Drosophila melanogaster: one gene and its partner. The protein of the gene in region 1 purifies or fractionates together with the protein of each later gene. This does not show direct contact. Each region holds a gene or a part of one and is shown in the gene's direction. Other genes may lie near its edges. The genes, in order: DIP-gamma and CG1504.

Evidence for each region.
Region 2: the proteins of DIP-gamma (region 1) and CG1504 purify together in Drosophila melanogaster (affinity purification with western blotting; one large-scale study listed by BioGRID). This does not show direct contact.

Annotation. Positions count from the first base shown.
Region 1 is NT_033777.3:28,965,987-28,974,375, reverse strand, and holds the start of DIP-gamma (Dpr-interacting protein gamma), read left to right. Parts: upstream 1-4,003; 5' UTR 4,004-5,045; intron 5,046-8,389.
Region 2 is NC_004354.4:20,326,236-20,334,610, reverse strand, and holds the start of CG1504 (uncharacterized protein), read left to right. Parts: upstream 1-4,238; 5' UTR 4,239-4,493; intron 4,494-5,068; exon of another isoform or gene 5,069-5,448; intron 5,449-5,930; exon of another isoform or gene 5,931-6,396; coding exon of another isoform or gene 6,397-6,833; intron 6,834-6,892; coding exon of another isoform or gene 6,893-7,007; exon of another isoform or gene 7,008-7,167; intron 7,168-8,375. Other genes in the region: CG1631 (uncharacterized protein), read right to left, coding at 6,397-6,833, 6,893-7,007.

The DNA of each region.
Region 1 (8,389 bases):
TCTTTGGCCTCTGCTTTTTTTTTCTTTTTTTTTAAGAGGGATTGGGAATGGAGGGGGCTGCTTGGCCCCCTGTTAATCTGGCCTGAGACGCCTCCCATGAAATCCTTCCCGCCGCAGTTTAACCCTTCTCGACTGGGCCATTGGATAATTTGGATACTTCGACCAACTTTGATTGACCTTTTCACTTCATTCGCACTGGTCCAGATAAAGTTTGATGCAAGTTTCAAGATCGTCGTGGGACATATAAAAGGCATTTTTGAACTTTTTAAGGGGAATTTAATAATGTTAAAAGCCTGGTATAATAATATTGGTTATTTATTAAAAGGAACTATATTCGTTTCATTGAGCAGATACACGAGTAAGATAAATAACTTTAAATAAAAGATTGCCTTTTAATTGGACCCAATGAATATTTGAAATTCTTATCTAGGGGGATTGTAAAACCATTTCGCACAAACCCATGCTTATCCATTAAAAAAGAGCTTTTCCAAAACGGCCAGCCAAGGGAAATCGCAGAGCGGATTGCCGTGAGCTCAGCCAAGGGTTAAGTGTATTAGAGTTGTCTCTGTTTGCCGTTCTGCTTCCTCTATATTCCCCTTGTTTTCCTCCATTTTCTCCTGTTTTTCCCTGTGTGTCCGGGCACTCATATAGCCATAATGCCAGAAATACTTATTCCCCGATATGCAACAAACAAGCAACAAACAAGCGGCAACAATGGCAGAAAAGCTAAGCCAAGGCCAGAACAAAAAGTGGTAAACAAGTGGAAAGCGGTGGAAAGTGCTGCCAGGTGCAGTTGCAGTTGCACTTTCAGTTGCAATTGCTGTTGCAGTTGCAGTTGGAGCTACAACCGCAGTCAAAGGGCTCAAAGGACAAAAAGGGGAAATAGGCACGAAAATAGCAGGAAAAAAAAAAACAGAAAAAAGCTGAAAAAGAGCCTAAGAAGTAGACTTGAAACAGTTCTCCCTTTGCGGTGTCATTTGCAATTATGTGGCCAGGCCATGCATGGCAGTTTGATGAGCTCCCAGCTGGAGAAGACTTTAACTGCAGCCAATGTGCATTAACTGGGAGATAAAAGACTTTCTATGTATCCAAGAATCCCCGCAAGCCTTTGGACCGGCTAATGGAAAAGTGCATTGGAGGATTGGACTTGCTACTGATTCATTAGACGATTACTCGATTACTGGCAACGGACTCCAATATTTATTAAAGCCAGCCCCGGAGTGTGACTGCAAAATTAACTCAATTTCCACTTCCTTTGTTCTGGAGTTTTTGTGAAACTGAGATGATTTTCACTTCGGCATTTTTCCATTTGGCCAAGACAAACACGACACGAAATAGTAGGGAAAAGCAGCCAGAAATATGAGAAATATGAAAATTGAGAATGCAAACACAATTTGAATGCTCGAAGCAAGAGCGAATCGAGCTGAAAATTGATGAATTTTCATCTACAATGCTGAGACTAGAAGGCAAAGGCAAAAGCAGCTCCCACTCTGCAGGCTGGTGAATTTAATTAGTTAAGGATGGGCATAAACAAAAATTCAATTCCCCGGATATCCCCAAGAAATCGGTGCTCGACAGCAAATTAATTATACGCCACTTGTATTTAATTAGTTTATTGAATGGCCAGCCAGCACTTTGCAATCAATTCGAATATTTTCATGTGGCTGCAGATGCAGCTGCGATAAATGTGGCAGTCAACACTTCAGACTTGAATTTGTCGGACTTGGGTCGGCACCCGTTTCCTTGCTTCGCTCTTCGGTCCTTCTAACAAGCTCCCGAATCTGATTCTGGTTGTGATTCTGATTTTGTTCCTGGTCTGCTCTGGTCCTGGTCCTGGCCATTCAAACGTGCAATCTGAAATCGAAAAATCAAAACCCAAAACAAATTCAATGTCCCGAACGTGTGTCTGTCCGTGTCCGTGTCCTTTGCTCCGTCTGTGTGGGCTTGGGATGGGGCCACTCAGCAGGAGCAGTGGCAGGATAACGAATGGAGCCAGGCACAATGGGTAGAAAAGTGCAGTTTGCGGTTGAAAACCGGATATTTTCTTTTCGCCCTCGCTGGCAGGTGAACGCAGCAGCAGCAACAGAAGCAGCAGCCTGACAAAAACAGCTCGAAGGACGAACGGCTGCAGACGAAGACATGGCTCTCAGGATCAGACGGAAGCCGTTTGAGGCGAGGAAATGGAGAATAGTTCTTTTGGCCCGGCCTAAGCATTAGCACAGCACCAGATCAGCCAGATACCCCAGTAACCAGTGTGCAGTAACCAGATACCCAGATGCCCAGATACACAGATACTCAGATACGAGCATAAACGTTATTAATTAACATTCTGCCTGGCTGTCCCTAACAGATCCCGCCTAGATTTGTCCTGCAAAAGTTAATTGAATATCAAGCTAAAAGCGGCTGAAGAAGATCAGGAAAATCAGTGAAAACCCAGCTGAATGCGATGAGATTATTAAACGTCCCATCCGCTTTTCCCTCTTTGCAGTAACGAAGAGCTAACGACATAAACATCAACCGGCAGCCAATTAATGACAGCGAGCTACAGCGTTTATCGTTTCACTTACAAGCCAATACAGCGGAAAAACCCCTACATTTTCCACCCATACCATCGCCCTGTTAGCCACCTGTGAGTGTGGCCCAAAGGGCAGACAATGAAAATCAACTAAGCAATTGGCAACTAAACGAGACACCAGGATCCAGCTCTCCAAGCCGCTGCAGCAACAAAATGGGCCAAGAAAGCGCAGCTGGCTACTGTTTCCAATTAGTTGGCCATGACTGTGGCAAAAGTGTTGGGAAAACGGAGAGGGTGAGAGGAGTGCCGAGGCACACATGCACTGGCTGCAAAATGAAAATGAGAAACTGAAGAAAACAGAGAAATGGAAACTGAATTATTGCTCAGGACGAAACAGAAGTGGGGGGAAAATAAGGGGCCACGGCGCTTGACTCTAACATAAATGTAATGCTTTTATTAGTTATCGATACCAACACATACATACCCCTGGGTGTAAGCTAGTACACTGAGCAAAATGTCCAAGTTTTTACAAAATACAATTTTTTTTATAGGAATAATGATGAACGCTATTATTAAAAGAATATTTTCAAATAAAATGAATGTAATATTTAAACTGAAATACCTTGCATATGAGATAATAAATGAAATGCCTTTTTTAGTAAAAAATTTTAAATAAAGGTTTTCATATAAATTTGTATACTTTTACATTGTTTTTTCAAAGTTCCTTCATGTGTAAGAGCAAGAAAGATATGAAAAGAGTATAAGCGTGTCCCGCGAGGGGTGGTGATCTAAGGGGGCGGGATTGCGACTCCGGGGAAGACAGCGCTGGTATCCGGCGCCAAAGATTTACCAAACATCCGCTGGAAAATACCCCACTACGATTGCGACTGTGACTCCGGCAGCTGTTGTTGTTAGCCAAGTTCGTTGTTGGCAAACGCGATTGCAGCAAATCAGAAAATACTCGCACAAGTGCGAATGTGAATATTGATGCCACGGCGTAGGTATGTTTGACTTATAATATATGTATAGACATACATATGTGTGTGTGTATGGAGCTGAATGTGTGTTTAGTTGGCATTGCAAAACACAAACACAAAACTTCCATTCTGGTCGTGCTCCGCGAGTCGACTTTAGCCAGCCACTTGGCGCTACTTCGCCCACTTCAGCGCCACTCCACCCACTCAGCGCGCCCATCCACACACACACACAGAGGCACACCCACACACACACACACACACACACCCAGACATGGCCACAGAGCGCTCCTTGCTCGCTTACTTGCTACTTCCGCTTCCGAATCCGTTTTGTGTGCTGTCGCCGCAGAAATTTAACGAAGTCACACGTCGCCAATGCCAGTTCCTCTCGCTCTCTCGCCAAAAAAGCTCTGCGAGCCAGCATCCGAAGCATCCGCGTCATCGTGCCGCTCGTCGGCATCCTTCGTGCGTCCAGCCGTTTCGGCTCCAGATGGCAGCATCCTTTTTCATGCTGGCTCAGTTGCGAATTCAGTTTCGGAGCGTTCGGTGGTGGAGAGCAGCTGCATTTGTGCATTTCGCATCGAACATTCATCGTGATCCCAAGCGCACGAAGTTGTTGTTTTGTTTTGGTTTTTGTCGCCAAATTTCGCGGGATTTTTTCGTGAACGTGTGTGTGCGCGTGCATTTATTTCGCACACTGTCGACGGGGCAATACCAGGATCTGTCGCCTGTCTTCGCCTCAGACTTCTCCTCCGGATCCTGCGGAGCGGAGCGTACGTATTTGTGGCTTCAACTCCGTGTGTCGTATGTGCCCGTGTATGCCTCTGTGTGTCTGTGTGTGTGGCGTACCGGCATACCGTCTTTGTTGTTGGCCACCATTGTAATTGCAGTCAGTGTGGCACTGGCAACGCGGCGTATACTTGACATCTTCGCCGCCAAATTGTGCGATTTCTTCGACTCGTTCAGCTCTCGCGCTGGCTCCTTGAATGCGGCTCCTTGTGACATTGGCGTGAAGACGTGAAGAGCCCTCAAAATCCGCTATTCCACTGTGTTCGCAATCCATTTGCCTGCTGCCCTGGACGGGCAAACAAATTTTTGCAATTCAATTTCTATTGTGCATTGCCGATGCGAAATGTGCGCATCGTTTGCTGTCAATGCCAAGTATTCCGCATAAAAATTGAAAATTGCATGCAAATTAAATAAATAGAGTTCCGGTGAGGAGCTGAGCTGAGCTGCGAGTACCAGCTGAGATAGACACTCAAGAACCCATCCTATTCTACATACTCATCGCACATACGTACATATGCGAGTATCCTTGCGAAAATGACAGTTGTGAGTTGTGGCTCAGATTTGGATTCGCATGCGGGGCGCAATCAAAGCAAACGTCATTAGCACTCGCGACATCGCCTTCGATTGACAGCGGGAGTTGGAGCAGCGGCAGGAGCAGAAGGAGGTGCCAGATCCTGCGGCAGGATTCAGCAGCCAGGAGCAGGCACGAACAACTTTACATTTGCATAACTTCGGTGCAGCTCCAGCGTTCAGATTCCGATTCACAGGTACGAGAAAAACTCCTTACCAAAGTCGATTTCCGTTTCAGCAACCCCTTCAGACCGCCCGCCCGCACCGCATCGCTTTGCAACTTTGCTATCATTTCTATTTTCCTGTTTCTGTTTTTCATACCCGATATCTGTATCCCCACCAACATTTTGCGCCCAGCGCCCAGAAAGGGTAAAATCGGAGAATATTCAGCTCGTGCCATGGAGTTGGGCTGTGGCAAATCCATTGTGGTGCACTCCCGAGGTGGCTTGGATTCGCGAGCTCAGGGCCGTGGATTTACCTTTTGGGTGGTCCTGGGAGGTTCTGGCTGGTCCTGATGGCGATTAAGGAACAAACTCAGTTCGCTTAGCAGCATTTAAGCCCTCTCAGTTTTTTAGGTCAGCTCAGTCGCTCTTGATTTAATGATCCAATAAGGAGCTTCTAGGATGTTCAAATTGAAACCTGTTGGAGTGAATCAAGTTTATCCGGGGCAGCAATTAGAATGATATCCTAATGTCATTTCGAATGGTCGGGAAATGCTTTTAACATTTTTTTAAGCAATTGCAAAATGTAATATTCATAAGGTACTTGGAGTACTAATTAAGTACCAATTAATTGAAAATTGCAAAATAAAAATGGCACCAATGTTTAAATCCAACTATATCTTATAACAATTTTAGTTAGGCAAAAGAAGTTTGCTTTAAAAATTAAAATTTAACGATATTTTAAGACCTGAAGACAAGAACTTTCGCACAGCTGAAAAACTCAGTTTAATGACACTGCCAAATAAAACTACTAGTCATTTCCAGAAAGTCTTGTTAGCATTTGATGTAAATTGCAAGGAATAGTTTTAATTCTTGACCCGATTTCGGAAAAAATCGTTGGTTGCTTTACTAGTTTGGTAACTCTGTAGTAGTAGTATTTTTTCAATAATTTTCTATAATTTATTTTACACACTATCACTAAAATGAGGGCACCTGCGCGTCCAGAGCTCGTGACAATAGCATCTCCGATTTGTTTTAGCTTTGCCAGCTCTGCTCTTTGGTTTAGTATCAACTTTACGGCTGTTTCAGCTCCGGATTTCTTGCCCACTCCACTTCGGCTCCATCATGGCCACGTTATCCAACTTTTAGTTATGGCTTTCGCTTTTCGCATAATGTCAGTTTTATTTGGTTTTGGTTTTCACTGACGGGGCGTGCGCGCACTGGGTGGCAGTGGGTCTGCCCAGGAGGAGCAGGGACGTAGAGAATGGAGGCCAAAGTCCCGTCTCAGATCCATGCCAATGCCCAGGATTCAGGATCCAGGACTCAGGACCTGAGGCCTCCGGCCCCTTGCCCGGCCATTCGGCACCCTTGCAAGATTTATTGTGCCTCATACACTCGTACACACGTACACATAACACCTTCTGCCGGGGACCTTCGTCCTCCGTCCTCCCTGGATCCCTTTTGGGTCCTTCTCAGCCGCGCCTTGGGTTTCACATTCAGCTCCATCTCGTTCTTCATACATCTGCAGTCCCATAATCTCTACTATTTGCATCGCAGACTTTGCTTTGGATTTTCCTATGGCAATGGATTTAGTTATGGTTTTTCTTACTCTCCGGCTTTCCGCTTCCAGCCCTGCCATCGCCCAACGCCCCTCTCTCTTCCTCCTGCTGTCCATCCGTCTCCTCTCCGGTTGCGCTTTTTTACTTCACACACACACACACACACACACTTATACAGATTTTCCCGGCAGTCGGACGTTTGTTTTTCCTCTGCCGTTCCGCACACACACTGAGCAAAAAAGGTTTGCCTAGTTATGGCTCAGAAAGAGAGAGGTAATAGTTGAGTTGTCTGGGGCAGGGGTAGCAAGAAGAAGGACGAAAGTCCTGCGGCAAACCGCAGCAAGCGTCCCAGTTGTTGGCCAAGGGCGTCCAGGAATGCGTCTAATGAATAACCATCGTAATCCATGCTGAAGCCGAGGCGATATGGAAATATGTAAGACAGATTAGCTGATTGTTAGTCCGCGATGGGAATGCTATGTAGGGGGGGGGGGTTTCTTTACTCGCTTCAGTTTTGATAAGTTATTTTAATTGATTAGTATTTCACCTCGGAAGTATTTACTTAAATTTCATTACGTGCAGCTGCCGTTTGCTAAAATCACTTGAGCTTAAATTTCATTGCGCTTGCACAATACGATTTGTGAATGTGAGCTTTAAAATGCCTTTGGGCTGCCATTTATCAACGATTTATTGTCGACTTAATAAATTAATTTGGTTCAAGGCTGGGAGGAAAATCTTTCACTTAACCTTGCCAGCATCCGAATTCCAATAATTTCCCAATCCCCAATCCTTTGTTATCGGATCCCCGCACTTTAAATTCCCAGTGACTCCCACTTTTCAGGCTAATGAAATTTGTGGAATTTATTCCTTACTTCTGACTTCATTATCATGTGAGTGCACACAAATGTATGTATAGTATAGTATGCGCCAGGGCAATCCATAAAATTTGATCCCTGATCCATTCATTCCCGACTCGCACGCATGCCACCGTGGCCTTTACGTTCTGCGAATCCTATCGCAACCCATCACTGAAATGGCCACCGCAATAGCTCCTTCAGTCCTCCTCCAGGCTTCTTCATTTTTGCCCGGTGTAGTCGTAACTCGTTCGCTCAGATTTGGGGCTCCTTGAGGAAGCCTCGCACATGCGAAAGCTCACACACACACACTCTCTCGCACGCGGGTTGGGGGAGGACTAACAGGATATCCCATAAAACGGAAATGGCATTATCCTCGCACATATTGTTGTGCGGATTTTAGTTTTTATTACACCAAGCAGAGCGCGGCTTCTGGCCGTGAGAAGCCTCACGGGCTCCTCCGCCGAAGCCCAAGGAGCTGGAGAAGCTGAAGATGGAGCTGGTGAAGGAGCAACTGCGGCAGCATAAATATCATTTGTGTCTGTTTGTGTGATACATCAAGTAGTGACCCATTAGCCCCCTCGCAACACCTGAAACCGCACCCACTTACCGCTCACCTGGCGGTTGCAATTTATGGCCGGACCCCTGAAAACTCCACACACTCCTGTGGAGAATCTTCTGCCAAGGGGGGTGGCTCTACGCTAATAGGGTTCCAAGCCATTGTTTTTGGATGCGACGAGCTGTGGATGGTGGGGTCACGAAAAGGAGGCGGAGAAGGAGCAAGGATCTGATCGCTTTCTACATTGCGGGCAAGATTTATAATACCGCTGGCCAAAAACAACAAAAGCGTCAAATGGCCACAGGAAATTCTGCCCCTACACTACAATAAAATAATCTTCTTAATGCAAGACTCTCGTGTATTTGCAGTTCACATAAGTAGGTTGCAGGAAGAATGTTGTACTCTGTTTTT
Region 2 (8,375 bases), on another chromosome or scaffold:
ATCCGCACATGTTCATCGCACGCACAGAGCCTGTGGCACCCGACTCCCCATCCTCATCCCTATGACCATCCACTTCCTCATCCCTGTCTCCATCCCCACATGGATGTCAGCGAACTGAATGCGCTGCAGAGAATGGAGAACGGAGAAAGGAGAACGAAGCGAAGTGCATTGTGGACTTGTAGCCCCGGTCTCTGGGGCCTCGGTGGCTCCTCTTCCCGGCAGTCCCAATCTCCACAAGCGGGCTTCCCAAAGTGGTTTAAGGCTTCTTCTTTCGGCTCTTGTGTGGCCTCTGGGTCGGCCTTTAATTTTAAGACCCAAATAGCGAAATAACATGAAAGTCCACCCCACGAACGGAACGGAATGGAAACAATGCTCGAAATTATTATGCCCCAGCGCGACACCTCGGCCTCCTGCCGCACGAGATGCGACTCCTCTTTAACTGCAGTGGGGATGAGTCGTCGAACTTTCGGCCCCAGTCAGACAATGATTCCTAATTCCAAATGATGGTCACGGGCAAGAAAGAAGAGACGGTTGGCTGTCTCGCAACGCACCAGACCAAGTTCCCTGGGCTAATTGAACCCACTGAGTCACCGCAACTCGGTGAGGGTATGCAGTCTTTGACTTGGTCGTGGAGTTTCGGTTTCGGTTTTCGGTGCTCCATTCCCCATGCTTGGTGCTCTATGCTGGCCTTCTTTCTTTTTGGCTGCTTGTCTTCTTTGCTGGCTGGCTGGCTGGCATTCCATTTCAATTTGTTGCAGTTACTTTAAACAATTACCAAGGCACACGAACAGCTGCAACGAAGCTGGGGAAAGAATAAAGCAATGGCTGAGAATGGGTGACCCGAGTGGTGACCCAAACAGGTCGAGTTATTTTTTTGTTTTTTTTTTGTTCTTTTGAAACTGCCCCAACACAATTTAATGATGAAGAGGACCAGAGCTGTTTGTGTGTGTGTGTAAATCGGTAAATTTTATGCGACAAATGAGGAAAAAATGAAATTTGTGCTTTCCGAAAATGATGGGGAAAGCTGCGCTCTGTGGTCGGAACTCGGGCTTGATGATTTGATGAGGCGCCTTTCCACACATCCACATCCACATCCAGATATCCTATAACCAATCCCGACCCCCTTTCGACTCCTTTTCTACGTAAATGTGGAATACAAATTGCACTCATTTTAGTTTCTCACGTTTGTTGCATGTTGTACATGACTGCAACGCGCACGCACACAAATTGACACACACTCACAGACACACGTGCCACATTCACATCCACATGCCCCGAAAGGAGGTAGGCCTCGACCTCTGCTTAGTTTTGGAGCACCCCGCTCCCCGCTCCACGCTCCCCGCTCCCATCTTCCATTGCCCATCGTCATCTCCCATCCATTCTCGATGCCAGGACTCCCAGTCGCCCCTGCCTACAGCTTCGCCTGCTGCTCTGTTTTCCTGTCGCTTCATCGGCATGCGACAAACGGAAATGTTGCTTTTATGCTTTAAATATGGCAACTTTGTGGTGTCGACAGACACACTCTCACACTCGCACAGTGGCTTATAGATACTCTGACGCACACTAGGAAGCACTGGAATAAAGGCACTCGTCATTGGGGCATATGATAATTAGTCTCTAAATTCTTCATTGTATTTCTTATTGATTACATTGTTTATTTTTATATGGTGGCTAAAGATTACCTATGACAAACTCTCAAACACCTGGGCTCACTCTAAGCATATGCGTTTTTTTCGAGTGCATTGACAGTCGTGTCGATTGCAAGTCTTGCCTGGTGGCCCCTTATCCACAGGCTTGCTGGGTTTGCTGCCTATGCATCAGCATCAGCCCCATCCTCGGCAACGAGGACCTGCAGCCTTCGATTTTCGTCCTGCCCTCCTCTTTGTGTGTGACTATATCGCAACGGGTGTGAGCGAGTAGTGTTTGAGCGATCGACCATGAAGCCTTCATTATTGCATTTCATGATTTTGCGGTTCTTTATGCTCGTTCCTTTACACTAGGCGGCGACACAAACAGGGAAGCTTCTGCGGGAAAGCCGATGGGGCTGTGGGCGTGGCTGGGGCAGGACACTGGACGAGAAGCGTCTGCCATGTGCCATTTGCCATGTGTTTGGCCTGGCCGGGACTGGTGTCGACACTTTCACAACATCCACACTTCCACATCCTCATCGACAGCAACAAAGACATCGCAGTCAGGGCCAGGATATGGCATATGGCTTTGCCCCGCGTCCTGCATTCACTTCCATCTCGAGAATCGACTGAGCGGACTCGTGTCCGTGTCCCTCATTCAAATTTTCAATATTTTCCATGTGTGCTGCCGGTCGTTATCACGCATTTCCTGCCATTTGCAACCTCCACATCCACATCTACATCTACATCTGCATCTACATATCCATTGCCATTGGCATTGGATTGGTAACGGGAATTGCAGCCGCAAGACACTGGCTACGTGGCCAGCAACCGACTTGACCAATTTGCCGCCCCTGCGGTTCCGGGTTGAGCGCATTAGGCCGCACACTGGGCCGCTGGTCCTGGCTCCTCGCTGGGAATTTCCACTCCGCATAAATGCAAAACCGATCTTGAGGGCACCCCAAACCGAATCGAAGTACAATGGCATGTCAGTTGGGGCAGCATATGGGGCATATATGCCACGTATGACACGGGCTGAAGGTTAGGGGGTCAGCAGTTCAATCAGTGGCACGACGCAGGATACTTACCACACATGTGGACTCATTTCCATATGTGTGCGATACCACTTTCACAGATTAAAATATGATTAGAGTTGGGGTAAGGGTTAATAACCTTCTGAGGAAGAAATATATTTGCCTAACATTCCATTTAGACAAAAACAAACTTGAAATTAATTAATTATCTATCAAAATAGAATCAATTCTTCGGCACAAGACTGCGTATCTACCCATCTCCTTCTACATATCATAGCTTGAAAATTTCAAAGCTATCAATCACATTTGATTTTCAAGCTGACAAATTCCATCTCAAACATAGAATTATTCCTATATAATGCTGGTACAAATGGTAGTACAAACGAGTGCGCATTTCAAATATAGTATAGTATAGTTCTATCTATATATATATATAGATAGTATGTTCAACTATCAAGCTCTAAATTTAACATTTCCTTCAGCTTACATTTCGGAAAGCTTTATGTATAACAAAATGATATCAATCTAACTTTTAAAGTATGATACAACTGCCGAACTTTAGTTCAAGACAAGTAAGAATTTGTATAGCTACTCAATGAACCTTGAATTGAAATAGCCAATAATGCCTTAGGTGATCTCGATAACACTACTGAACATATACTGATTTCACAAACTCATCGCGCACGCCTTCGCAGTACCAATACCCTGCTGATGATCAGTGACAACTGGCTTCCTATCTGACTGACCCCGCCATAATCCTAGTGGCCATATCCGCTGGGGAGCAACAGCATCGCATTCGGCTGTTAATGCCACTGATTGCTAATAAATTGAAAACCATTTCAGCACAGACACGACCCGAAGGCAATAGGTGGCAGAGGATTTGCACTCGACGCCGGACACACCAGCCATCCTCGCATGGGGATCAGAAGCAGAGCAGAGGCAGAAGCAGGAGCAGGTGGACGGACGGGAATTCGAATCGAATCGCAATCGGAATCGGAGTCGAAGCCCCGTCAATGAATATGCAAAAACAAGGCAAACAGTGAATAAAATCAAAATAAAAACCCATTTATCAACACGCATGGCGTGGTCCAGGATGAGGACGCAGTCTATCCATCGCCGGCGTTGGAGGTGGACAAATGTGAGGCGATTGCTGGTGAAGCCGTTGGCCACGTGTTGGCCAAAAGGGAAAAGGTCACAAAAGCAGGTTAAGCTGCTTTTTTAAATAAAGCGCACAGCACGTTAATGCCCGCTGGCAGGACGAAAAGAGAATCCCGCCAGGACGCGGGGTCTCATCCATAATCCTGTGCCACTTACAGCCGGGCCACATGCGAACCACTCCGCTGGCGACCAACGACTGCGGACCACTGCTCCAGCCGGTTCCAGCCGAACGCCACCGACGTCAAACGATTGCCTGAGCCGAGCGGTCACGAGAGGACAACGAGGCTACTTCGGATACGGACTCGGCTAGCGCCGAGCTACCCGATTGGTGACGCCTTCGGCTTCGGCTGGCAATGCGGACAGTGGCGCCGTAATCCGTTCGCTGGATTTTTTGAATTAGTTGCGTGTGGTAGCTTGTTGACATCAGTACCGGGTACCGGATGCGGATGCGGATACGTGCGTGGCCCGCAAATCTCTCGCCAAATCTCGACAAGTCCTAACTTGACGCGACCCGCAGTTCATAGTTTAGAGTTCAGCTGTTCAGCGGCTGGTGTGTGACATCCCCAACTGACATCTTTTTTGTCATCACTCTGTTCTGTCCAGCTGTGTTTCGGTTTTTTTTTTTTTGTTTTATTGGTCCGGGAAATCACGTGTGTGTTGTTTTGAGTGCGAGGTGAGTGATTTCGTTGGTTTTTGTTTGGCTGGGGCCCCCGCAACAGTTGCCAGTTGCGCTTTAAACTACTCCTCAAACTGAGCCGCAAGCCGAACCATCCAAACCTCCAATCCAAACCAAAGCAAACCCAACCGAGCCCAAACCAAAACCAAACTAAGCCCGGCTGATAACTGGCTAAAACCTGACCTGCGGTCCTCGATTGCCTGCTGTTGGTGGAAGGTGGACGGTGGCGGATGGTCGATGTTGGAAGTTGGATGGTCAACGGTTGTCCGTTCAGCTAGTTTTGTGGTCGCTTTGACGTGGTCGCGGGCAATTTGAAAGCCAACACCGAAACGCCGATTACGATAAGTGCAGTCGAATTGAAAGGAGGCGGAGTGGAAATGGGATGGGAATGCGAATGCGAATGCGAATGGAAATAGGAATCATCATAATCATCAAGAGCAGCAGCAGTAGCAGGAGCAAGCAGGAGCAGACTGCAAACTGCAAAGTGCATATTCGCTTTCCGCCTGATGTTGTATTTCATTTTGCCATTCGCATTCGCATTTCGCTTTCTCATCCTTTGTCGTCCTTTTTAGTTTTAGTTGCCAGCAATTGCCGCTGCCAGTTTGCAATTAAAGACCAGCTCCATTCAAATGGCAAAAGTGAGGGGCTGAGGCGCTGAGGGACTAGCTGAAGGACTAACCGAGGGATAACCGAGGGATAACCGAGGGATAACCGAGGCATAACCAGAGGCAAAATATTAAATACTAAATGCCAGCTGCCAAGGGAAAGGCAGTTGCAGTTCAGCCCGCCTGTTGCCGTCGCCTGTCAGCATTTTGCTAAAGTCACTGTCCCACTCGCAGTCACAGTTGCCATCACCATCGCCATCACCATCGCCATCAGCATCAGCGCCAACACCAGCCCAGTCTCCCTCAGGTGTCCTGAGCGACCATCCAGCCACTTTGAGCGTGAACAGGTGAGTGACAATGTGAAAAGGGATCCTAAAGGGATGCTAGCCTGATCGCACAGGCTGATGCCATGTGGGAGGCCCATTCCCGAAAACAAACTGAGGCAAGAATAAAATAGAAATATAAGTGATCCTATGGGGTTTCCAAGCGATGTCATTTATAAAAATAAACCGACTTTCTTGGTACCTATAACTACTGTTACTATAAATTACGTTTATAAACACTATAAACACGTTTTTCCAAAAATGAGGTCGATTTTCTTTTACCTTTTCTTTAACTAGTATCCTAATTGGGTCAAAACTGAAAGTAATTATAATGCTCAGACGTTTTAAGCATGAATATTTAATTCGAGAAAAATGGCAGCCATCTGCTATAACAATTTTCAAAGCCAATAAAAGCTCATTAAAACTCTTCAAAGATTGTGCTACTTTAAACTGTCATTAGTAGTATAAAAATACATCATAAAAGTTTCAAATAATAAGTAAGGCCTATGGTATCGATCAATTTACTCTATTGTAAACAATTTGACAAATTTATAAAGTTTGTAGTCTTGGGATCAGCAGTGTGTTCCACTCATTATCTGTCGCCATTAACTGCGTCCTGTATACTGCTATCTATGGATGCTGTTGACTCGCACAAAAAGCCAGGATTGTCTGTTCCCTGAGGGAGTCACACTTTTGCCGCTTCGGGACATTTGTACACCTAATGCATAAAACAATGTATGTATGTTAATTTGCGCGAATACATAAATGTTGATATCTGGCTAAAAAAGAAATATACTCGGATAGTACGTTTCTAATTACTCTAAGCCTTATCCTGAAAATTGAGTTTGCTGGTAAGGATCCATCTCATATCTTGCCCTCCATAAATATTAGATCCATGATCATCGAATGTGAATATCTGTAAAAACCAAAAAAAAACCGCCTGCAGAGATGCCGATTCAACCAACCCCAGCCCTACTCAAAAAGCTCCATTTGGAAGATTTTTTCTTCCTCCTTTGACTCGGACTTCTCCTCGCTCTGTTGATCCTTATCCTTTTCTAGCAGGAAGATTGTCTCGCCAACGAACGGATTACTGCCTACCACTTCGACCTCATTCGAATTATCTTCGTCCTCGTCGCTCAGCATGAGCCGGTATGTAGGAAGCCCAAACTCTGAGGATTCTCCAAACATATCGTATTCCCTGGCCTCGTCGATGTCCTCGCCGTCGGACTCTACCTCTGAGCCCTCACTGTCGCCCTCACAGCAGAGGATCTCGTGGGCAAGCAGCGAAATAGTCTCTTCGCAGAAATTCTCCTGCTCCTCCTCCAAGTCGCTGTCTGATTCTGCCGACAGCAGACTGTACATGCTCGTCTGCGGACTGGTGTCGGGATCGGCCACTGTGCAGCTCTCATCTGGATCGGATGTGCGGTTCGCTATTAGTGGAAACACATTTTTCTAGATTGGTAATCACCTTCGCTATCGCTAGTATAGTCGTCGCTGGTTAGCTCACTCTCGCTAGTGGAAATATCCGAAACGTCCGCGTTTATGTTGATCTGGTCTCTGGAATTGGCAGGGTCGCTGGCCATGTTCGATTGTGTCTAATCCCGGCTCCTATATCTGTACGTCCATGTGCTGTATCTCTTAGTTTCAGACTGTCTGACTGTCTGACTGTCTGGCTGTCTCCTGGTGTGATGTGATTCTGATTCTAAACTTGTTTCCATGCGTGCTGGAAATGTTTTGCCCGGCAAATGCTACTGGGATTAGTTTTGGGTTTCGGGGCTTGGACTATAGATTCGAGATGGGTGCAGGAAGCGACACTGCCAGCACGTAATGTCCTGGGCGCTTCCTTCCAGGACGGCGAATTAAATTTTATGCCAACTGCAATGCCCTTAAAGGCGAAGGCAGAGAGAGAGAGAGAGAGAGGTCTTCGAAACGGAAAAGGCCACGGAGACAGGGCCAAGATGGAGCCGTAGTTGGAGACCGGGCTAACTGCGGCATCGTCACAGGCCGCAGGCCGCGCTCCACATGCACACTGGTTGCCGAAAGGACACAGGACTCCCATAGCCGCACACATACACACACATTCGTACGAGAACGCGTACATGAACTGGCTACCGCAGCAAAGTTACATTTGAAATTTTATTTCCATGGCCGGGGCTCAAATGCAACAAATAAAAACGAGCCACGGAGTTGCCTCTGACCCGGTTCCCGGGTTGTACTCCACTTCGCTCCGGAGTCGCTATCATTGTATCACTCTGATCTGGGCCAGGCGACACGCCTCCTCCGCCTTCTCGGGTATCCACACCTCCGTTGCAAGGACATCCGGCGTGGGACTCGACCATAGCGCACCAAGCAAGCCACTTGATAGGGCAGGCACAAATTGCCAGACAACGAACGGCCTTAATGCAATTGATATAAATTGATATAAATTATTATGAGAGTAATTACCATATCGATGGTGCGGGAACATATATAATTTATTTTTTGCTCTTAAAGCGCAACTAATTAATTTCTGTTCATCTACTTCGTTTATTTATTCCTTGCGAATAAAATAATAATGCACAACAAAGTAGTTGCACTAGAATTTCAGTACTTGTATATTGTTCCATCTACCCTAGAAATACTCTTTATGTGTACCTCAAGCTCAATTGCTTAACTGCAATGTAATTCTAGTCCCATTAAGTGTTTTCTACATTTTTTATATTGTATTTAAGAATTTTTCCTGCTTACCTTTTAAACCAATATACCCCAACGGCAAAGTACCGCCTTCAAACTTTCACCCGTTGCCACTTCGCATTTGCCCACTCCACTCGCATTCCCTTGACCCAGGAGCAGGCCAAGCCAGTGCTACGACGAGTAGGACCAGTTCCAAGACCAGGACCAGGACCAGGACCACTTTGGCGAACCACAATTTAATTTCTGTTTTGGTTTCGGTGCAGTTTTTTGCAGCAGCT